Linked DNA regions of Danio rerio. The protein of the gene in region 2 binds, or shares a complex with, the protein of the main gene of each other region. Links are inferred from orthologs where the notes say so. Each region holds a gene or a part of one and is shown on either strand. Other genes may lie near its edges.

Evidence for each region. The genes of interacting proteins can lie anywhere in the genome.
Region 1: arid1b (region 2) and dpf1 share a complex: the UniProt entries of both Homo sapiens proteins name them as parts of the neuron-specific chromatin remodeling complex. The link is inferred for Danio rerio from reciprocal best matches to the Homo sapiens genes ARID1B and DPF1.
Region 3: arid1b (region 2) and actl6b share a complex: the UniProt entries of both Homo sapiens proteins name them as parts of the neuron-specific chromatin remodeling complex. The link is inferred for Danio rerio from reciprocal best matches to the Homo sapiens genes ARID1B and ACTL6B.
Region 4: arid1b (region 2) and phf10 share a complex: the UniProt entries of both Homo sapiens proteins name them as parts of the neural progenitors-specific chromatin remodeling complex. The link is inferred for Danio rerio from reciprocal best matches to the Homo sapiens genes ARID1B and PHF10.

What each region holds. Positions count from the first base shown.
Region 1 is NC_133190.1:16,402,324-16,408,683, forward strand, and holds the start of dpf1 (zinc finger protein neuro-d4), read right to left. Parts: upstream 3,569-6,360; 5' UTR 3,491-3,568; coding exon 3,381-3,490; intron 1-3,380. UniProt on the Homo sapiens protein: May have an important role in developing neurons by participating in regulation of cell survival, possibly as a neurospecific transcription factor. Belongs to the neuron-specific chromatin remodeling complex (nBAF complex).
Region 2 is NC_133195.1:5,199,639-5,205,899, forward strand, and holds the start of arid1b (AT-rich interactive domain-containing protein 1B), read right to left. Parts: upstream 3,650-6,261; 5' UTR 3,179-3,649; coding exon 2,165-3,178; intron 1-2,164. UniProt on the Homo sapiens protein: Involved in transcriptional activation and repression of select genes by chromatin remodeling (alteration of DNA-nucleosome topology).
Region 3 is NC_133198.1:48,259,047-48,265,375, reverse strand, and holds the start of actl6b (actin-like protein 6B), read left to right. Parts: upstream 1-2,761; 5' UTR 2,762-2,917; coding exon 2,918-2,942; intron 2,943-6,329. UniProt on the Homo sapiens protein: Involved in transcriptional activation and repression of select genes by chromatin remodeling (alteration of DNA-nucleosome topology).
Region 4 is NC_133188.1:6,006,980-6,013,298, reverse strand, and holds the start of phf10 (PHD finger protein 10), read right to left. Parts: upstream 3,569-6,319; 5' UTR 3,552-3,568; coding exon 3,483-3,551; intron 2,722-3,482; coding exon 2,615-2,721; intron 401-2,614; coding exon 270-400; intron 133-269; coding exon 49-132; intron 1-48. Other genes in the region: actr2b (actin-related protein 2-B), read left to right, coding at 4,026-4,073. UniProt on the Homo sapiens protein: Involved in transcription activity regulation by chromatin remodeling. Belongs to the neural progenitors-specific chromatin remodeling complex (npBAF complex) and is required for the proliferation of neural progenitors.

The DNA.
Region 1 (6,360 bases), on a different chromosome or scaffold from region 2:
TAAGCTCTGGATTTTTTAAGAGCCGATAATGGCCCATTTCCAATGAGTGGTACGGTACGGTGCGGTACAGTTTAATACACTTTAATGACCGTTTCCACTGTCAAAAGGCATATCGAATCGAACCAGAATGAAAACAAAGGAACTGCCATGTTTTAAATACACAGCCGAGAGATTACAGCATAATATATACATATAATAACGAGCCATGGTCGACCCGAGCTCAAACAAACCTTGTCATCATCTTGATGAACAGCCACAATACCAATAAAAAGAGCAGATTTACAGTGGACTATTTGACACTGTAATTGATCTGCATTTATAATCAAATCATGTTGATGGAAAAGTTAGTTATAAACATATATACAGAAGTATTTATGTGTATAAAGCGTCTGTTTTGTGAGAAGTGCTTCTCATATGATATGTGAACGAAAGATGATTTCTTGAGCGAAAATGACGTCGACTGAAACTTTCTGTCATACACCACGCCCACCAAAAGGGTACCCTTGGTAGTGGAAACGCAAGCCTGATAAAGGTGACCCGTACTGACCCGAACTGTACAGTACTGTACCAGTCAGTGGAAACAAGCCATTAAACCACAGAAATGTGCAACAATGGAAATCTAAAAGTGTGCTGATATTAGAGATGTATTGAATTTTCAGCAATGCTGGGCCAATGAACTATATTCTATCCAATTGCGATAACATTTATGTCAATAACAATGATAAACTCTGAACTTTTTTTACTTTATATTGATCTAAGAGCCAATCACACAGCAGAAATGTGCAACAATGGGAATCTAAAAGTGTTTTGCAAATAGAAATGTACTGAATTGTTGATAGGGCTGGGCAAATAAACAATATTATATTGAATCATGATAACATTTATGTCAATAACCATGATAAACTATGGACTTTTTTACTCTATATTGATCTAGGAGCCAATCACACTGCAAAAATGTGCAACAATGGAAATCTAAAAGTGTGTTGAGATGTACAAGATTTTTGGACACTAAAAATATATCGGCCAAAAATATATTATGCCATTTAATGGACCCTTAAATTTTTGTGGCTTCAGTAATTGTTAGGGGTATTCTTTTAAATCTGGAAGCCTAAACAACTTATATCGTAATATAAGATAAATATAAAATAATTATTGAGATTGCATTTTTGCCATATTGCCCAGCCCTAATAGGATATATATATATATATATATATATATATATATATATATATATATATATATATATATATATATATATATATATATATATATATATATATATATATACACTTCAAAGAATACCATGTTTGTACACAGTGTACATTGGGTACTACAGATGGCAATTTAATGTCATCTAGCACTAACTCTCCCAGGACTGGTTACGCCAATGGCTTCCACCATGCATTCAGAATGTCTGTATTTACGACAGGATAAAGTAAGCATAAAATTCTACACAAAGACACAAGAGCAGTAATGTTATTGTAGGCCTAATATTTTCTGCACTCCTGTCAAGCTCAAGTTGCCAAACATAATTTGAAGCTGTGCAAACCTGAACTAAAGCACTATAATAACACATTAATAACACGTTAGAATAACACTATAGTAACACATTATTCATTTACATTACACTAGTATTCTCAGATTATTATCATTATGTAAAGTCTTATTTACTGTACCTAAAATCTTGAACCCTGTCCTGTGCACTGTTATTAGTTTTCAAAGCATGCACATTTTCTCACACCATCATGCAAAAAAGCTTATGTGATGTGTATACAACAATATTATCAATTTATTTATTGTGTTAATCTAAAACCATAGATAAATACATACATAGATACCATGTGTATATATTATACATATAGTATAGACATACGATTTTAGCTTTGGGTCACATGAATTGTGTAACGTGTAGGTGTACAGGCTCCTCAGCTCTGTAGCGCAAGTCTACTACTAGTTATAGCATTGCTTTCTCTTTATTAGTTACAGCATGCAGGGTTAATCGTCCCATCACTGATTCAAAAAGAAATATATCAATACATCAGCTTATAAACAGGATGTTGTGTAGAATTAAGTTTACTTTAGACATGTATTTGAGTCTTCATATATATAATAGTACAATTTAACTAATTCAACAGTCTTTCTCAAATATGTTCCACTATAGCCAAAATTATTCATATTCCATTTAAGCTGTTAGCGAAATCTTTATTTCAGGTATATATTTTTACAATAAATCCAACAAAAACAAGATGTGCAATCCACAATGTCAATTACATGTGACCATGGATCACCAAATCAGTCTTCAAAAATTTCCAAATATCATAGATAAATTAATACATAGATACCGTATTACTATATTAAACATATTTAGACACACGATTTTACCTTTGGGTAACATTTTAAAGTGTGTTTTGAGCTCAATTGTGACCAAAATACAACGTTGTGGAGACGTGCTGGGTCAAGGTAGGCAGTCGTGGTAGTTACCGGAGGGAGATACAACCTCTCAGGTTAGGAAACCCGGCACAAGTGCTATGCCCCTTTATGAGATATTGAAGCTACAGTCTCATATTCCTGCCAAATACAAACACGTCTCCTCACTCGGAAGGTCCCCGTCTCTAACAGATGAATGTAAAGCAATTTTTGGCACTGAGCCCGTGTGGCGTCTGCGTGCCGCACGCCGAAAAAATGTGTCAGTGTGCACAAAGGAATCTAATGGAAACTTCACGGAATGTGCATTGATGCAACGGCGCACCAGACATAGCAAATGTTACGCGCAACTAAAATGTCACGCTAAAACATGTGTTTGTTTCAGGATTAGCATTGATGTTTCGTATTTACAATGTCATTTCTACAATCTACGTTATCAACGCGTGCGATGTAACCATTAAAACACATTGTGTTAAATTGTAACATTGGCTAGTATGCAGCTAGACAGCCAGTGTTGTCTTCTGCATGCTCATTTCATTTGGCATCGCATACGTGTGCAAAAAAATGTTCGAGCATCATCATCATCATCATCGTTTGTCCAGAGAGTCGGTGACCAGTGAACTCTGCGATTCCATTAGCAACAACTGTAAGTTCCTAGTGATCAATACCGAGCAGGGACGCCGGGTCAACATTCTCAACATTCCTCCATATCACTGTGCATATGCAGAAATGACACCCGAGACTCTGCACTTTACAACGTGCCACATTTGCCCAGATGACAAAATGTCGTCGCATGCATTATGATTTATTGCATTTCAACATGCATTGGTAGTTTGAGCCTCGCCGGCATTTTATACTTTTTAAAGGTGTTTGCATATTTGTGAATAAGAGCGAGCGCTGTTTGTTGCATGGCATGCATTAGTCAAAGCATCAAAATAGAAATATTTTTTACTTACGATTTCAGAGGATTTTGGACCACTGTGGCCATTTTGATATAGAATGATACAATGTAAGACTGCAGATCCCCGGTATTGTACATGTAATATAGCAGCAATTTCAATTTCATTCATTCTCTGGGGCTGCGGCTGGATCGGTCAGCCAATGGGAGCGCGGCTGCCTGATGGTCAGTGCGGGGAAATGTAGTTTTTATTCCCTGAAGCAGTCGGGACTCGTCGGCGCGCGTGCTACAAATACCACAATGCACCGCGGTTAACTGTATTCTAGTCCCGCCTTGATTTTGTGTGGGTAAGCCAAAACATCTACTGTAAATTCAAGGTTGGATTGCTGGACTGTCTGTCAGTATTTTTTGTTGCCTCATGTTGGTAGCTTCTTTGATTCGCAGAGGAATAGTTTCAGAGTGATTGCAGCAAAATCAAGCCGTTCGTTCTTGTGTTGTATATTTCATCTTTGAGATTAGCAGATTTGGGTAGTCATTGGTCATTATTATTTTATTACACAGCATTTTTCTGCATGTGTGCTATGTTTAGTCAGATGCATGTATATTTGAATACACATTTTTTTCCATTGACTTCTGATGGGTTTTGTGCCTGGGCTAAATAGTATAGTATATTATAAATATACTATAAACAGTATATTTATATCTGAACCCTGATCAATCTTTTCTGCATCATTTATAACAATTATTTCACCAATTTATGTATTGATTTTATGGTAAAGCAGTTTTTCTCATATATACATATGGTTGTTACCAAATGAATAATTAATCCTACAATACTATACCAGCTGAAGAATCACGATACCAAGTAGTATTGTGATACTGTAATTTATATGTCAAATTGTCAAAAATAAAAGAAAATTGTCAAAAATACTATATTTTATGTTATAATAGGCCTACTTGAATTAAATTCATAATTACTTTAAAGCCAAAAAGTATTATTTGCACCTCACTAAGATATATTCATTCTTTTGGTTTATTTTGTAGATAAACTGACCAACAAGAATACATTAATATAAAGATACAAATGATACCAAATGAAATTTGTTACAAAAGTGCATTTTTTCCAACTAAATTAGGCTATATGAAGTGGTCCAAAATTCTTTACTATTTGCTATTTTGGGTTTCAGGTAACAATCCAAAGTAATTCAAAACGTCACTTTGTGAGATGTGTTTTTAAAGAGATTGTTGCAGTTGTTGTAGCTACTAAATTATATTAACAGGAACAGAAATGACTCGATGTGCGTTTGAGCTGAAGCGTGAGAAAACGTGCAATAGGCTACCATATAAGGCGCAAATTCTACTGTTTTGCAACCTTAAAGGGCTCCACAGACTATTAAAATAAAATGGTCTATTGTTCCACAAGCGTGTGAGCATTTTAGTGTCTCTACGACATGCAACATTATCTATTGTAGCTAAACCATTAATGACGATACTACCGTTGACAAACTACAGTGGCACCATTTTGAAGCCACAGTATCACGACACTACCATAGTACCAATAAACCGTGCAACCCTAATATATATAAATATATATTAATAATTTTTTTTATTATTATTTATTGAGGTTAAGTAGGTTTTTTATTCTCACATTCATTCAATATTGTTTACAACGCTAATTTGAATACTGGGTCTGAAATTACATATGACTTCAAAACAACATCAGCACTATTTACTTGACTGTGAACAATGCTGTACTTTGATAGTCATTGGCTGCTAAAATGATTTCGCCACTTAGAATTTGCAAATAATACTTTTCTGAAATTATATTATTAAGCAAAAAGTCAGAATGTGCAAGTATAAATCCAGCTTTACCCCAGTATATATGTATTTTGAGGCTGCTCGATATTGGAAAAATCTAACATTGCGATATTTTATATGAATACAATTTCAGCAGATGACTTAAATAGCTCTATTTGGAATGAAATCATTAACTTTGATTGAAATAATCTTGCAGAGGAGAGAATCAAAGATATTGCAAAAATAAATAAATAAGATAGAGCAAAGATAAAAGTGAAATAAGTAGTCAGATATCCAGGTATTACGATATGATACAACATTATCATGATGTTTTTCCCGATTGTGATAGATCACGATCAATATATCACAAGAAAACCATCCACAATATATCATGACATTAGTAAATGAAGTGGGAAAATGCATCAAAAAAGTTATTAGATGTATTTCTTTTATTAACATCACACACAGTTGAAGCCTGAATTATTAGGCCCCGTTTAAATTGTTTTTTATTTTTTCGTTTTTTAATATTTCACAAATGATGTTTAACAGAGCAAGAAAATTTTCATAGTATGTCTGATAATATTTTTTCTTCATATATTTTTTGATAGTCTACAGAACAAACCATCATTACACAATAACTTGCCTAATTTCCCTAACTTGCCTTAAACTAATGAACCAAGTTAAGTCTTTAAATGTCACTGTAAGCTGTATAGAAGTGCCTTGAAAATATCAAGTCAAATATTATTTTCTGTCATCATTGTAACGATAAAATAAATCAGTTATTGGAAATGAGTTATTAAAACTATTATGTTTAAAAATGTGTTGAAAAAATCTGCTCTCCGTTAAACAGAAATTGGGAAAAAATAAACGAGGGCGCTAATAATTCAAGCGGGCTAATATTTCTGAATTCAACTGTATATATGTAATGCAATGTAGTGCAAGTTAAAAATACAAATAATACACTTGAAATAAATGTGTAAAAAAGGAAAATTCCTTCACATTATTATAGTCAGTCCTTTAAGCCCTATTCTAACTGATAATTTCATAAAAGTCCAACATTCTGAATCTGCTTGTACATAGGGAAATACATTTTAACAGTGTGAAATACTTGTGGACAGTAACATTGAAGTTATTCTTCAATGTGAATTTTTCAATGGTGTACATTTGAATATTGTGACAAGAGGCCATTCTGACCTCTAAAAGAAATGGAAATGACTATAAAGGGCTCTTCAGTCCAGTTA
Region 2 (6,261 bases):
CAAACGTGAGCATGAAATCTGGAGTACGGTCTTTTCTTAGCTTAGTGTATCTGAGCTTTCTTTGCCACCATAATAAAGTAACGCTCATTGTTTATTTTTTCGAAATATCAATATTAATCTATAGTTACTGAAGCAAATCAGATCAAGATTTCTAAATCCAAATGACCGCTTGTGATACTGAATCTAATCTGGGCATCTGAATCAGTATCTAGCACTGGGTGCAACATATTTATGTTATTATAATGTTATTATATTTCATATTTTAACTCAAATTAAATGCATTTATAAGTCAGCAATCGAAGAAAATGTATTCGCTTGGAAGGAAACTAACAAAAAGGAGTAAAAAGAGAAGCACACAAGACCTTTTTTTTCCTGACAAAATTTTTTTATATGTATAAACAATATGTGTTTCCTTTATTAACCTTTATTTTAAACTGTATAACTTGCCAAGGTGTCAAGACGCTTAAAGTGTCATACAAAATCTGTCAAGAATGAATGGAAGGCTTAAAGGCTATCGGGTTTCTTGGCATCCCTTACAGTCTGGGCAGACCTTGGGATTACCCTGGGCAATCCAGCGCAAATGTTCTTCATGTGCCACTATGAAAGCATGGCTAATCTGCATGTGTGAAGGTCAGAACTGCTCATCCATACAGAGAAGCGCCTGCGGCCAAACAGCATCTGATCGCATAAGATGCAGAACTGGAGAACTGAAAGCGGGCAGCTTTAACCTCTTGTGGAAAAACTATACGAGGAAATCAGATTCACTTGAGTATTTGGCGACACAGATTCTGAATTATGGAATAACTCAAAACAGAAAATACATATGATCAGGTACATATGAAATATTTGATTTTAAGGCACCAAATGACTGCATTAATAGTTAAAGCAAAACAAACATTACCAGCATTTATTGTTTGACAAAGAAACAGCCTACAGCATTTAGCTGAATGAATATTAATTTATGCTAAACTATTCCAATAGATTCATCAGCTTTTCCTCTAGACACGCATAAAAACATATTAAGCAGCGAAGTCAATTTATCACTAAAATCGAACATGAAAACTAGTAACCTGAATAGCTTGAATGTATAATCCAAGGTGATAAACTATTGAAGCTACCTATAGACTGTTAACATCTGACTCAAAACAAAAATACTAGGATGTTAAGACATTATATTCATACTATTTTGGATATTATTGTTTTTTTACATTATACACAGCCTAGCTAGACAGCATTTTAGGCATCAGTATGCTGAAGTCTAGTGAGTCACCTACCTAGACAAATACTAGTTTAATGTTGTCACAAAACCCAGTGAGCTGCCTAGGTTTTGAAATACACCAGCCCGCCTTATCATATCTTATAAATTAAAAGATTTTCGTGTATAAAACCATGTACAGATAGCCTAAAGAAATAACAGCAAGTGAGTGTGAGGTGAATGTGAAAACATTAATTACTGCATAATGAAGTGAAGCCAGACGGGCGCAATGGCGCTAATACAAGCTAGCAATGCTAATCAGTAGCCCTGTGCTCTGAAAACGCCGTCTAGCACTTAGTTTCAGACAGACAGTGCTAACCGGTAACCATACGTCAAAAACGAAAACGAATTTTTATATGGAAAGAATCGTTAACTCAATTAGTCGCTTTATTCGAGTGAATAAAAAGCGTTAGCAGTGGGTTTTTTACTTAGTAGCAACGCAATGCTAGAATCTTCCATCATTGAACTGCACCGATCGAGATCTTTAGCGGAATCGCAGCCGATCATGTGTTCAATAACATGACACGGATTTAATAGTGATTATGCTTCATTGTTTTACTGTGTATACGAACATAAGCCGCGCTGCATATCCGGTTGCTGAAATAGGAATCTTTCTAAGCATATATGAAGTCTCGGTGCAGGCTAACACATGCTAACACTGTTAGCACAGTCACCTTGGGCAGAACTTGGCATGTTCTGCTGCCTGTCAAGCCACAGACAAGCCCAAAACTGGGAAATAACAAAGCCTGATCAACATCAGCATGTTATTTAACTGTTCATGCACGTCACGTGCATTCAATGAACGTAAACTAATACATTCCAAGCTGATATTAAGGGTAGCATCGGGCCACAGCTAGACCTGCATGCGAAACTTGAACACACACACATAAGGAAAGCTAAAGCGTTCACCTGGGCTCTGCTGTTGCCGTTGTTCCCGGGGCTCATTGCCGGGTGGTTTCTTTGTTGTGCTGCCCAGCTGTGGCTGGCAGCTGGGCTGTACGGGGAGCTCATGTCTTTGCCCAAACCCATACCCGACTGCTGCTGCTGCGATGGCGGGTTGCTGTAATCTTGATAGCCGCCACCGTATCCCCGCATCATCGGACTCGGGGATGTCAGGAGCTGGTTCAGGGTGGGTGTAGCTCCAGAAGGGTGCTGTTGGTTTTGTCCGGGAAACCTCTGAAAGCTCCCAACATTGGCACCAGGAGCCGGGGTGGTCGAGGCCATAGCAGCCTTGCCATGGCTAGCAGCAGCAGCGGTAGGCGAATTGGTACCTGGGCCCATCATGTTCCCCTGCCGCGACGGGCTCATCATACCGTATCCAGCGCCGCCGTACCCCGGCCGGTAGTTGGGATAGTGGTTGTACGGATTATTATGGTACCCTTCGTGGGAGTTCTGCACTTGATCCATGTTGCCCGGTGCCTGATGTATTAAAGCCGTCCTAGGGCTTTGTTGTCCGCCATGTTGATCAAAGCAAGGCCCTCCTCTTCCATTCCCGTAATAATTATTAAACTCAGAAACTGAGCTGCTCCCGCTTTGGGACGCGCTGCCTCCGCCGCCGCTGTTGTTGTTGTTGTTATTGTTGCTCGCTGGTCCAAAGTTGGAGTGCTCGTACCTGCTGCCCATTCGATCCCCCCCGGTTTTGGACGAGCGATCCTCCTCGTCGCCTGTGTTCAGCAAACGCGGATGGCGATCGACCTGCGCCTCCAGAGCGTCTTCTTTTCCTCCATGCTGCGGATCTGCGCGGTTGCTGCTGCTGTGGATGGTGATGGAGATGTTGTTGTTGTTGTGCGCGGCTCGCTGCTGGTGCTGCTGATGGAATGCTCGCGACTGTTGCTGTGGAGGTGTGCGATGATGAGGCGAAGGAGGGGGATCTCCGCGTCCAACATTTTTCACTTGATGATTCGCGACCAGACCCGTTTCCATACTCGAAGTCGCGTTTAAACGAGCATTAAAGTCTGTAGGTTTATTTCCCCCAGCGTCTGTGTTTTCGCAGACTCTATAGCCGCACGCTGCTGATGCCCATCTACATTATTCATTGGGGTAGCGCTGTGCCATCGTCTGCCCCATATCGCACAGTTTTCTCCTCATTCACGCCGGTATAGCTATATATATGTGGGCTTGCGATTTGAGGATGGAGCGTTCGCCACCGCTGTCCTGTCAGTGGGTGAATGTGTGCTGGGCACGAGCTGTGAAAACAATTACTGATGCGTTTGAGACGAAGACAAATGACACCAATATGCGTTTAACTGGTACTGCTCTGAGGCGAGCGGAGACTTCAACGCATTTTCGCAAACTGGAAAGTTTATTTCTAATATCAAACTTCCCCATTCCCACAGAGGCAAATGTGAGCGTGTACAAATGTGCGTATAAGACCCCTGCCGGAGCCCCTTTGCTCCAGCATGGCATTATCGAGCATCTCCTTCAGCTCTCTGCGCAGAGTCTGCTGGAAAACACGGCGCGGCCGGTTAACAATTTTGGATTTCCTCACATCACATTTTAATCAATCTCATCTTTATTAAACATAAGAGAGTTCATGTGACTGTTGGACCAGTGTTTGGACCAAAGGGACCCCCCCCCCCATAAAGTGGAAAAACTAATTATTCAGGGAGGTCTGTTTTTTTTTTTTTTTTTTTTTTTTCATTAAAACTTTTTTTTTTTTTAAATAAACTTTTATTTAGAAAAGAAGAAATGTACAATATAAATCAGGAAGTAATATGTAGGAGACTGGAACACAAGTACATACAAATACAAAGTGATAAGAACAGAAAGTAATAGAAAGAGAAAAAATTAAATAAAGAAAAGAAAAAAGAGAATAAAATAAAGAAAGGGGACAGTACAAAAGTAAATAAAAAACACAGAAAGTATTAAAAACTAACTTACTGGAAGCATGATATTTTCATAAGTTTCTATTAACTTGCAGAATTTTTGCTTTAAGCAAGAAATCAATTTCAATTAACAATTGGCAAATGAGGTAAAGGATTTCCGAAATTTTGTTTGTGGATACAATTTTTTGCATACCATATAAAAAGTAATATATATATATATATATATATATATATATATATATATATATATATATATATATATATATATATATATATATATATATATATATATATATATATATTCTTCATGGCGAGGCAGTGGCACAGTAGGTAGTTCTGTCGCCTCACAGCAAGAAGGTCGCTGGGTCGAACCTCGGCTCAGTTGGCATTTCTGTGTGGAGTTTGCATGTTCTCCCTGCCTTCGTGTGGGTTTCCCCCACAGTCCAAAGACATGTGGTACAGGTGAATTGGATAGACTAAATTGTCGGTAGTGTGTGAGTGTGTTGGAGATGGGTTGCGGCTGGAAGGGCATCCGCTGCGTAAAACGTGCTGGATAAGTTTGCGGTTCATTCCGCTGTGGCGATCCCGGATTAATAAAGGGACTATATAACAAATAATATCTTTCAATTTCAAAGATTTGTTTTGTTGATTGTAATTTGTTTAAATAAATATATAGATCTGACCAAAACTTGAGTAAGATTTTACATGTAAAAAACATGCGAGTCGAAGTTTCCTCATTTTCCTGACAGAAAGGACGAGTAACTGCAATATCAGTAAATTTTGAGATAAATGCATCGACCGGGTATATTTTGTGCAGAATTTTAAAATGGACTTCCTTTGCTTCTTGGGATAACATATTTATATGGGAGAAGCCATGTTCTTTTCCAGTCAATATCTTCTGTTAACGCTGACCAATACGATTTCCCTCTTGGAGCAGTTTGATTTTTTTTTTTGTTGGAGAATTCGAAGAGTTTGTTGTTGCATTTCTTATCATATACACTAATACCTTTTAATAATAAGAAGGTTGGTTCTTTTATTTATATATGAAATATGAATTTTTGTTAGATGTATTAATTGTTTTGGGCATTTTTTTAAAAAGGTTAAATTTCTTAAATGGGATTGAAAAATGTATGAATGTTCATAAATTATTCGTTTCATTAAAAACTAGGATAGATATAATTTTGGGGCATCGCGTCAAAGCAGCACCACACAAGATTTGTGTGCATTTTTTGTCACAATTTTGTAATAAACTCATCTAAATTAGTTAATTTGATTGTTTTTGAAGTTTTTATTTTTAAATGAAATTGAATCATGTGACGCAAACTTTTTTTTGTGGATGATTTTCATTTACAGATCACTGCATGATGCATTGAGGATTCTTATGTTCACCTTAAGTCAGGACGACAGTAAGATAATTGTTCTTACAGCTATAGTTGGCGGTTCAATCTGCTGTGGTGACCCCTGATAAATAAGGGACTAAGCCGAAGGAAAACAAATGAATGATTGTTTATAACCGCTGTAGTAAATTTACAGACTGAAAAAGCCTTTAACGTTCTGAAAAGTCACAAGGTTATGGTCTAGCGCAGGGGGGTTCAAACTCAGTCCTGAAGGGCCGGTGTCCTGAAGAGTTTAGTTCCAACCCTACTCAACCACACCTGAACCAGGTAGTCAAGCTCTTAAGCTGTGGTCACACTGGGCTTTTCCTCCCATGACTTCCATTCATACGCACGCGAATGGTCAGACCGGAAACACAGGGTCATGCGTCAAGTTTTGCAGGATGCTGCGGTGCAAAGGTCAAGCTTGGTGAACTCTGACCTGCGAAATTGCATCGCTTGACTGCATGAGACCAATCGAGGGTCAAAACATGACCTTTCTGGACTGATATGTAAAATATGGAGCAATCGCTCGCTTTTTAAATGTCTAATCATCTTGTTTGATCCCGCTCCTTTTCGCAGCGCTGTACGACAGAATTTCGCAAACTCAAACTATGGTGTGACCGCAGCTTTACAAGAGAAACTTACTAGCAGGTGGTGTTGGAGCTAAACCCTGCAAGACACCAGCCCTCTAGGACCGAGTTTGGACACCCCTGGCCTAAGAAGACCCCCCACAGTTTCACACAATTTGAGCCAGTCATAAGTGTTACCCACTTACTTTCCTTCTTAGTCCCTGATTTATCAGGGG
Region 3 (6,329 bases), on a different chromosome or scaffold from region 2:
TAATAGGCCTATATACTACTACTACTAATAATAATAAAATTATAATAACAATAAAATAATAATAATAATAGGCCTATATACTACTACTAATAATAATAATAAAATTATAATAACAATAAAATAATAATAATAATAATAATAATAATAGGCCTATATACTACTACTACTAATAATAATAAAATTATAATAACAATAAAATAATAATAATAATAATAATAATAGGCCTATATACTACTACTAATAATAATAATAAAATTATAATAACAATAAAATAATAATAATAATAGGCCTATATACTACTACTACTAATAATAATAAAATTATAATAACAATAAAATAATAATAATAATAATAATAATAATAGGTCTATATAAAATAATAATAATAAAATTATAATAACAATAAGGTAGAGCTTCACAGTTTTTCTAGCCTCTCTTGTAAAAACATTTGAAGATTCATGGGTAACAACAGTTGTATTTAAACTATTTTAATTTGATGTGTTTTCAATGGATTATTTTCACTTTTTATGATGGCATGGCAGTCAAAATAGGACAAATGAGCTCATATATGGGACATACGGGTCTGAATTCATGTGTACAAACCGGATATCATCAAGATAATAGTCTACACATGCACATATAGTCTAATAATAGACATAAGTCATCTAGATGTGTATATAACGTTATCATTTATTTGTTGACTTTATTTTCCACTTAATTAAATGTCCTTCTGTCTTCTTGTATTAATGAATTATGATTTCCAAAACCTGTAATTAAACAACAGGGCTACAGGTTTAAATATACAGACAGTCTAAAGCTTTATCAGGCGTATTTAGAACAAGAATCACTTGATGGCATTTAACACCTCTATTTATGGACCACGGCCCATATAACAGCCTATTTAATTAATTATAGATTTTGTATCGCGCATGTCGCATAGGTCTATATATTTCACTATATTACACCTATAAACCTGAGCCTACACTATTCTGGCTACTTGAGCAGAAGTTAAATTAATTCAAATGTATTCAAAGTACAATGTCAATCACAATGTCAGTGATCCTGCATGTCAGAATATTATTCACGGGATTTCTGTGGTGTTTTTCAGACTGTTTGTTCATGATAACGATTTTACTGAAGCGCATGACAGTCACATGCGCGCGCAAACACCGGAGCCGAGACAATCACGACGTGTCTGCGTGTGTGTGTGTGTGTGTGTGTGTGTGTGTGTGTGTGTGTGTGTGTGTGTGTGTGTGTGTGTGTGTTGGTTTAGGAAAAACCTGGATGCAGGTGTTTCCTGATAATACCACACACACAAACACACACACACAGAGAGAGAGAGAGAGAGAGAGAGAGAGAGAGAGAGAGAGAGAGAGAGAGAGAGAGAGAGAGAGAGACGCACACACGCGCACACACCTAGATTATTATAAATGAATCATTGATTATTATTGATTATATATCAATGCTAAACTGTTGATTGTTTAATGTAGTTTATTCTGATATATTATTATTTTTAATATGATATTTTCACTTATTTAATTATTATATCTATATATAATTTTTTATACTTCTACTACTGTTTGCTGTGTTTATTGTGTTTTTTAAATTTATATATGCATGTTCTTTTTTTTTTTTACTTTATAAATGCTTGGCAATACATTTGTCATGTCAATAAAGCGATTATTGAATTAAATTTAATTGAGAGAGAGATAATACAATTCAGTTCATTTTTAGTTGTATAGCGCTTTTACAATGTAGATTGTGTCAAAGCAGCTTCACACAGAAGATTATAGTAAATTGAAACAGTGTAGTTCAGTTTTCAGTGTTTAAGTTCAGTTCAGTTTAGCTCAGTTCAGTGTGGTTAAAGATTAGAGAGAGAGAGAGAGAGAGAGAGAGGGGGGGGGAAGAGGGAGATAGAGAGAGAGAAAAGTTAATTGCATAACAAATAATAATAATAATAATTGCATGACAAATGTTAAAAATGTTTCGCCAGAGCATTTATAAAGTTTACATTAAATTTAAAAAAACATACATATATAATAAAAAAGTTAAAAATAAAAAAATTATAATATATATATATATATATATATATATATATATATATATATATATATATATATATATATATATATATATATATATATATTCTTGTGTATCATATTCACATAGATCAATAAAAAATAGTAATATATCAGAATAAACTGTACATTTAACAGTAAACATTATAGGATAAAACAGTAATAAAATCAATAATAATCAGTATTTTTACAATGATTTACTTATAATAATTTACACACACACACACACACTTTCTCTCTTCTCTTACATAGTGTGACCGCAATAATCAGTTTCCACTGTTTCCTCTGAACAATTAATGTGGCAAATAAACACTTAATAAAAGAAACACTTTATTTTACACAAATTAATATTTTGCACCATATAGGCAACTGCTTTATTACATATTTATAATTTTTCTAGCCATTTATGAAACGATGCTTTATGAAATTAATGCTAAACAAAATTTGTCTGGATTTATTTTTTTGGGAAACTTGCTGTACTCCGTGCATATGATTCGTGCAGCTGTTTCCGTCATCTAGGATGCGAGATCATGAGAATAAATCAGCTTTACAATAAATCTGATATCATTGTGTTCCATCATATGATCAATTCTCGTATTCGTCATTAGTCTAAATAAACGGCGGGAATGTTCTGCAGCAGCACGTGACAGCGCGAGAGGCTACCGGACACTGGCCGGTTACCGTCAGCAGCGCGTGACCGGTGACAGCAACAGCGAGACGCGCGTGCGCGTGCAGGAATAATCGGTTCCGTTATTTCCCCATCATACCCTCAGTGAACCGAACACACGACCTCCCGAACACACCCGGTAGGAGCGGCGGGTCCGGATCAATCCTCACGCGATGAGCGGCGGCGTGTACGGCGGAGGTAAGAGCGATCCCGCATCACCATGACAACCGCATCCGCGAGCCGGCAGCATCAGCCTCAGCGACGTTACGGTACAGTGTGGGGAAACAGTGTTTACACGGTGCGACACGCAGGAAATACACGCTTTTACCATGGTGAATGTTAAAAGCGTGTCTCATCAGCTCCTCCGGACACTATGATAGCATGAGGACTTGCTCTTCCAAGTTGTAGACACTGGGGTGTGTTTAACAGCAAAGCACTAGCCATATTTCCGCTTCAGCGTTTAAAAGCTTGACGTTTAATTAATAAACCTGACTGCTGATTCTTCTTAAGATTCACAGGGAACACCAGAATAAACCCGTTACTCATCATTTTAATCATGCACTCTAAAAATGCTGAGATGTCAACCATAGGTCTAACATGGACAAACCCGACCACTGGGTTATTCATATTCCACTGAAAAAGACGCTGGGTTTGTCCATATTTGACCAAACACTGGTGATCATCTATTCAAAACACCTGTGTTAAAATGTCATGTTAAGAAAATAACTGAGCAACTTCTGCTGAAACTATTCTGCTTATCTAATTTCACACACACACACACACACACACACACACACACACACACACACACACACACACACACACACACACACACACACACACACACACACACACAGTAATATCAGATCAGATCTGGCTGATGGTTTATAATAGGGCTGCTGGCTGCACGATATATGGTCTCAGTATCGATATCACCATGTGTGCATCTGCAATAGTCACAACACACACACTGTCAGAAAAGATGGTAGGGGAGCGCAGGGCACAAAGTAACGCAGGGTTAAATGCAACAGAGTTTTAAGGTATTTGCTCAGGGTTAACCATGGCATGCTTCCAAGGTTTCACCACACTGTCAGCAGACGTCTTCCTGCCAATTCTTGAAAAAATTAGGCAAAATTTGGATGAGAAACACTACATAAACCATTTTTGCAGCATAAAAGTATTTTTTATTAAAGTCAATATTTTTTTATTTAAAAAAAAAACCTGTGAAAGTATGTCAGAAAAATCTTATATTGTTGTGATCACCGTCTTCTAAAAGATTAAACCATTTTGAAAGATGTAAAACACACACAGTGACTGCGAGCCAGTTTTGAGGAAAACATGACACAGAAGGGTAGTTAGTTTTAACGGTGTTACAATTAAGCCACACACTGTTGGACACCTATTAAACCAACAAAATATATATTTTTTTAATTTTGAGTGTGATGTTGAGAACTTTTTAAATAAAACAGCTTTTTTTAATATAACATTTTTTTATTTAATAGAAAAAAATATTTTATCGCTAATAATGCAAATAAATGCATTGTATAATAATGAATAAATAAATAATAATGCAAATTCAAATGTGTTTATCCAATAAACAAATAAATGAAAATAAATAAGCATACTGTGCTATGTAGAATAAAACAGAAATGAGCCAACTATTGAGGAAATATAGCTATATTATTTAAAGTAAACTCAATTTAAATTATGTGACGTAGTGGCGCAGTAGGTAGTGCTGTCGCCTCACAGCACGAAGGTCGCTGGGTCGCTGGTTTGAACCTCGGCTCAGTTGGCGTTTCTGTGTGGAGTTTGCATGTTCTCCCTGCGTTCGCGTGGGTTTCCTCGGGGTGCTCCGGTTTCCCCCAGTTTGCCCACAGTCCAAAGACATGCGGTACAGGTGAATTGGGTAGGCTAAATTGTCCGTAGTGTGTGTGTGGATGTTTCCCAGAGATGGGTTGTGGCTGGAAGGGCATCCGCTGCGTAAAAGCCTGCTGGATATGTTGGCGGTTCATTCCGCTGTGGCAACCCCGGATTAAAAAAGAGACTAAGCCGACAAGAAAATAAATGAATGAATTTAAATTAATTGTGAAATCTGCCTTTAAATGCATGTGTTACATCAAACTCCCTGTCTGTTACAATTTGCTCCGTGGGTGGGGTGAATTGTAACGTTTTTACTCCTGGCACTTTTGGCAATACTGCACAGAAACCACAGGTCTGGTGATCATAATTCCAGTGCTCATTTGTAGGAGAGGCTTGTGTGTTATTGGTAAAAAAACATGGTTTGTCTAACCCCATTACTTTGTTTATTATTTGGCCAAAACCAAAAAGTGTTACTTTGTGCCCTGCTCTCCTCTACAAACCCTTGACACTGTGCCTTTTTATGAGACAGAATTGTAGCGTAAGACAAAGAAACACATTTGTACCATTGCAGTTTGCACCTTTAAGGACGTCGTTTGTACCATGGGAAAATAAAATGTCCCTTTGGTTTTTAAAACCTGCAGATACAATATTGTAGCTTCATCAGAGGTACAAATCTGATCCATGAAGGCACTACTACAGTGACAAGACAAAGCAAACCGTAACTGTCAGATGTGTTCCTTCAAGAACTATTTAAAGGTGTTTTGCTTTATCCAAAATGCCTTAATTTATTCATTTATTTATTTTTTTGCCCAGTTAGTCCCTTTATTAATCCGGTGTCGCCACAGTGGAATGAACCGCCAACTTATCCAGCAAGTTTTTACGCAGCGGATGCCCTTCCAGCCGCACCCATCTCTGGGAAACATCCACACACACACACACATTCATACACTATGGACAATTAAGCATACCCAATTCACCTGTACCACATGTCTTTGGATTGTGGGGGAAACCGGAGCCCCCGAAGGAAACTGCCCCGCGAAGGCAGGGAGAACATGCAAACTCCACACAGAAACGACAACTGAGCCGAGGTTCGAACCAGCGACCTTCTTGCTGTGAGGCGACAGCACTACCTACTGCGCCATCACCAGACCTCAAAAGTATCAAATAATAATAACAATAATAAATAAACAAACAAATCAAATAATTTTACAAAGACTTCAAAAAGCATGACAAAAGTTAAAAAATGTAATAATTTCATAATAAAAAGTGTACAATCTCAGTGAATTAGCTACGTCAGTGGCGCTGATCAGTCCACAATAATTTAGTGGCTGAATATTATTCATTTATTCATTTATTGAAATATTGTGAATTCACGCAAGTACATTTAGATTAATAATATCAACAACTAAATCATATTGGGGTGGCCACAGGGGGTGCCCCTGATCTAAACTCTTCATAAATGTTTCCAGGGCCGGAGTGGGACTCCTTTTCAGCCCTGGAGTTTCAAGCCTTACGCCCCATTCACACGAGGCTTCAGCGTCAACACTTGACTGAAGGCATGTCTGAAGTATTTTGCATACAGTCTGTTTGTATTTGCATACAGCAATCTGATTGGCTGACGCTTCCGTCAGCGCTTGAAAAGTTGAGCTAGTCCCAACTTCTGCAGCGAGCAACGCCTCTGAAGCGGCCCCGACAGATCCACAATGCAGTTCGGCAACGCCTAAT
Region 4 (6,319 bases), on a different chromosome or scaffold from region 2:
AATAAGTAGGCTGAACAAGAAGCAAAACTATGATTATGAACATCTTACCCAATGTACACTGTGTTTCAGTAATGACATTCTGCTCTCTCAGATAAAGTTTTTCCTTGTGAGACAGGTCTCTTCTTTCCATTTCTAGTACATGAAGTGGAATAGAATGAAAAAAAGACATGTTTACACCACACAACAAATCTTCTCTTCATAATTTAATCTGGAAATGAAACCCATTTGACCAAGCACATACAAATTCCTCAGTGCAATTTCACTCATACCTGGGTATTTGCGCTTGAATGACGTGACTCCCAAGTACTCGCTCACTTGTTCTTGTAACATATAATACTCTCCCGTGTCATCCGGAGGCCATTTGTATTCTGTCAGGTTTTCAGCAGGGAAGTATGTTGGTCTGTAATGAAACAGCAAAGGTCAAAACACACACATACAATCACATACACACATTCTCAGTCCAGAATTGCATGTGCAATATAAGAATTTTCCATTATTTTTCCTTAAAGTGCAATAAAAAACGTATACAACAAAAACAAATCATGTATCATTTATGATAAACCAATTATACTATTAATGTAAACTATTGCAAAATGCTTAAATGTTATGGGAAAACTAATTATTTAAGTTATTATTATTTTAAACTAGGACTGCACAATACATAATTTCAGCATCGCTTTCGCAATGTGTGAATATGACTATTGCAAATCGCAGGATAGTCAAGAGATTTCAAGTTGAGGTTTCATTTAAACCATTTGGAAACAAGAAAACGTTTTCAGCTTTGACTATTAGATTAGACTATATCTAGATTAGATATAAACAAATGCTATTTTAAGGAAGATAATGAAACCATATTGGTATATAGAGATAAATAATCATTTGTAAAAAAAAATGTATTGAGATGGAAAGTTGGTGATTGGATGGGTGTTAGCCCTATTGGGTAGCTTTACATGGACATAGAAAATGTTTAATTTGTTAAAAAAGATTTAAGAGCTACAGCACAATACTTCAGTGAATTTAAGACTTTTTAAGACCTAAAATGTTGTTTTTGAAATTAAAGAGATTGTAAGTCTTTTTAAACCCTACAGATACCCCGGCTGTGTGCCACACTTTTTTGCGTTTCTTTGTGTTTCTGATGAGATTACGTCAAACATTGAATATAAATGCTTATTTCAGAGCACTTCACAAGACGTTTAAGTTAATATTCTTAAGATAAAATGTCTCTAAACAGAAACACAAGTGAGGAATTTCAGCCTTATGGGGGTGACATTTGCAGGAAAATTTAAGCTTAAATTCACAGAGAATATACATCATAACAGTATATCAAAACATCTTTTTCAAAACAACTATCCACAGAGTTAAGAGATTAAAATATCAAACTGTAAGCTTACATTTACATTTAGTCATTTAGCAGACGCTTTTATCCAAAGCGATTTACAAATGAGGACAAGGAAGCAATTTACACAACTATAAGAGCAACAATGAATAAGTAAGTCTGTAAAGTCTAAGAAGGAAAGTATTAGTAAAGTTTTTTTTTTTTTTTTTTGAGTACAGTTAGTGGTATATCCAGAGAGGCAATTGCAGATTAGGAAGTAAAGTGGAGACTAAATAGTTGAGTTTTTACTCGTTTTTTGAAAACAGCGAGTGACTCTGCCGTTCTGATGCAGTTAGGGAGTTCATTCCACCAACTGGGCAGATTGAATGCGAGAGTTCGGGAAAGTGATTTCTTCCCTCTTTGGGATGGAACCATGAGGCGACGTTCATTCACAGAACGCAAGTTTCTGGAGGGCACATAGATCTGCAGAAGTGAGAGCAGATAAGAAGGAGCAAAGCCAGAAATCGCTTTGTAAGCAAACATCAGAGCTTTGAATTTGATGCGAGCAGCAACTGGCAGCCAGTGCAAACGGATGAGCAGCGGAGTGACATGTGCTCTTTTAGGTTCATTAAAGACCACTCATGCTGCTGCGTTCTGGAGCAGCTGAAGAGGCTTGATAGAGTCAGCTAGAAGCCCCGCTAATAGAGAGTTGCAGTAATCCAGTTTGGAGAGAACAAGAGCTTGAATAAGGAGTTGAGCTGCATGTTCAGATAGGAAGAGTCGGATCTTTCTGATGTTATAGAGTGCGAATCTGCACGATCGAGCAGTTCTAGAAATGGGGTCAGAGAAGTTTAGTTGGTCCTCAATCGTTACTCCAATGCTTTTCACCATTTTGGATGCAGTAATGGTTGCCCCATCCATCTGGATTGAAAAGTTATGGTGTAGAGTCGGGTTGGCAGAAAGCTATTTTATACTTTAAATGTGAAAAATAAACATGCGCTATAGATGCAATATTGAAAACAATAAACAAAAAATACTGTTTGAATTTTACATTTTACAGACATTTTGTGTATTTGTACAGTACTGAAAGGTCTTCACTAATTTGGCGTAAACCTAATCTCTGCATGGAATTGCTAAAATCCTAAATATATCATATTATATTAAATAAGTTCACTTTTGAGAGAACGTCTATTTACATAAATTATTTTGAAGGGAATTTACAGACCAGTGTCAGAAAAAAAACACCTGTAACTGGTGTGTGTGTGTGTGTGTGTGTGTGTGTGTGTGTATTGTGCTGACCCGAGCTCATGGGTGGAAGTGTCACAGCTCCTGGAACTGTCTCCTGAGCCCATCCTGCGCCTCTTGGGGGCTTGACTCCCATCACTGGAGTTCTCCTCAATGTCATCCTGTTTGAAGAGAAAGTCTGTCACATAGATTTCTGTATTCGCAGGCTAACATTAAATAAATTGAGGTCAAGTTTAATATTCGCACATTTGTTCAGTGGCTAATTTTGACATGCACCACAGTGTATCCATATTCTGATGGCTACTTCCAGCAGGATGACGTGCCATGTCATAAAGTGTGAATCACCTCAGACTAACACGACAATGAGTGCACTGTACTCAAATGGCCTCCACAGACACCATATCTAAATCCAACAGAGCACCTTTGGGATGTGGTGGAACGGGAAATTCACATCATGGATAAGCAGCTGACAAATGTGCAGCAACTGTGTGATGCTATCATGTCAACATTAACTAAAATTTCTGAGGAATATTTCCAGTACCTTGTTGAATTTATGCCACGAAGGATTAAGGCAGTTCTGAAGGCATAAGGGGGTCCAACCAGGTACAAATAAGGTGTACCTAATAAAGTGGCCAGTGATTGTTTATACCATGCCAATAAACTAAAAACGACTGTTCAAAACCATCTAGATAAGTCATTGCGGGTCCACTTTTCTGTGTTAATCAATTTACGAAATATTACTCGAAATGCATGGCCTGTTCAGCTACCTCGGCTAACGTTAACAGGCTAATGGTAAACAAACAAAGGCGAATGTACGTCACACTCACGCTGAAACTGTACAGGTGTAAGTACAGTTTTACATTGCTAGAGTGATATATCTGCAGCTTCTGCTAAGAAAAAGTAGTAAGTAAACATCACAAACCTTTATAGACTGGGTCCCAGGAGTTGCAGGATTGCTATCGCACGGTCTCGGCGATAGAACAGCTGCCATGTTGTTATTCTGCGAATGAAAGGGCGTCACATTCCGGCTGGAAACTAGCACAATGGGAACGCGACAAAGTGTTCCTATCTCTAAAAACAAAAAATTGAAAACTAAATATTATTTAATTGCACGTCTATTTTGGTAACTTTTTGGGACAAGGTTTATTTTAATTACAAACTATTTAAAATGTTTTACATTTATTTTAAAATTATGTTTTGTATTAAATTTAAAAATTTATTATTTTTATTATTTTTATTTTTAATTAATTGATAAGACATTTTAAATGTTTTTTTATTTAATAAAATTTGTCAATTATAAAAAAAAAACAGCGTAGGAGGCGGGGCTTGTGTAAAAAAAACAGGCTTGTCTTCTCGCGCAACTGTCTGGAACAGGAAGTGAAACCCTGCGCTGCTGTTTGAGTGCTAGAAGCACTTTGTTGAGAAAGTTCGGCTTCCTCTGACGGCTCCTCTGGGTCTCTGAAAGATGGACAGCCAAGGAAGAAAAGTGGTGGTTTGTGATAACGGAACAGGGGTACGTCCGCAACGCTAACACGCGACGTTTGTCTTGTCGAGCTTTTATTTCGAGTGACATGATAATAAGACCGATAGACCCCTAACAGGAAGTCATGAAAGCTTAGCGCAGCTATAAAGAATGTCTGACAGCTGCTTTCTCTGCTGTGTTATCTGACTGTGGCTTTATTTCTCTGCTTTATATCCAGCTTTCATTCTGCAGCAGACTCGATATCTCATATTCTTTCGTTAGGAGAGAATCGTAGCATGGCGTTGGTTGAATTAACTGCAAATGTCGCTTCATAATACAATAATAACAACACATTGACACAAATAATCGAATTAACTGCATGACCAAACCTTCAGAGCTCATTCTTGCAGCGATATGCTAGCAGCTTTCTTGCATAACATATTATTAATATGAATTTTGCGTTGCTATGGTTACATGCCATTCCCCATTCACTGTGAATGTTGCTGCCACTTGCTTTCAAACTATTTTTGCATATTACAAGCTATGGGTGATGGCACTTCCTCATCTCTCGGTTTCAGTGGATAGGAGCTGCACTAATGTTCAGTGATGCTCAATCCTGGTTAATCATTCAATACATTCTTTGCACATTAGAATAATGCTGATATAGTGAGCTCTGGAATTTCGCTGGTTTTGTCCTGACATCACAATTTTGGCGACGTCAGCATGTTTGAAGCTCAACTCGAGGTAGAAGAAGAAGTAATGTGAATGTTTTAATAATGTATTTTTAGTAAACAAACCAAGTCAGTGAAACAGAGAAGCATGAGTCAGAAGGAAGTGATGTCAAAACCACAGCCTGAAAGCATTTCTCTACATGTCGAATGACCAATGAACGAGCGTGAAAGCCTCCAGACCATTTTTGGAATAGTGTTAAGATGAGAAACAAGACATTACAGTTTTTTTTTATTCAAAGATCTGTTATAAACGATTCACACGAGCTGGAAGAAACAAGCGACTTAACTTCTTTCTTAATGTTCAGGAAGGTTTATTATCATTAGAAGTTTTGAGTAAAAAACTATTGTTCAGTGTCTTAAAGGGAAAGTCAACACAAAATGACCATCCCTTTTAAAAAGGTGTTTTAAAAAGTTTATTTTCTTCTGTTGAACACAAAGAAGACTAAGAATGATGGAAAAAACAACCATTCACTTTCATAGTATTGTATTTTTGATCCTACTACTATGGATGTCAATGACTGTTTTTTTTTTCAGCATTCTTCAGACTCCTTGTGTCTTGATTTGTGTTCAGTAGAAGAAAGACATTTGTTGAAGTTTAGAACCACTGGACTATAAGTACGATTTGTTTCTATTTTTATTTTGGGTGAACTATTTCTTTGAACAAAATGAGGGCTGTTCTCATGATCCTGGTCTGGAAAGTTGCTGGCAATTTTGCAGAAAAGGTTAAATGTGTGAAAGGGCTGATAGTAGTCGTCTAGTAGTACACTGGTCAATCACTTTATTTTCATAGATTTCTTCTTGCAGAATGTCTGATGAGCCTGGATTAAAACAAAAAGCTATGTAAGAGTCTGTGATGACGGATCATGCATAAACTTACAAAAACAATTGCATATAATTGCCATTTTACACTGTAAAAAATGCTGGGTTCCTTTAAACTTATTTTTTTTTTTACAACTTTAAAGGGCCATGAAACCCCCTCGTTTCAGCAGGGTGTTTTCACACCTCTACTTTAGAAAAAGTCAGAAAAGTGGGCGTGTCCAGCTCTGTTTAGGGGGGAGTGTCGGAGGAACTAAAGTGGGATGGTGTGAGAGTGTCTATTTTGGTATGCGCGAGTTTCAGAGTCAAAACACACACACACAGGGGAGAAAGTGACTGTGTTTACATGGACATCTGTAGTCAAATTATTTGCCAAATTATTAAATGCTGGACTTTAACTGCAGTTTGGCTCTTTCATTCAGGGAATTCATTCATGCCCCTCGCGACAAACGAGATATTTGATTCGAGGAACTGCTCTAAGCGTGTATTTTTCATGCAGTGTTTGATACCGCACGGCGAATGAGAGAAAAAAAAACTCAGCATTTCCCGGAAACTTAGATGAACACGGCAGGTAGCGTCAGAAAGCCGCGTGTGTTATTCCGGTCACAAAATGCGGTGAAAACCCTACACGAGGTTAAAGTTTGGTTGTGGTGCTAACGTGTTTACACTCGGCGCAATAGTTCGATACGAACAAACTGAATAAACAAAGAGCACTGGTCGCTCACTTACCAAATCTGTAGAGACAGGACA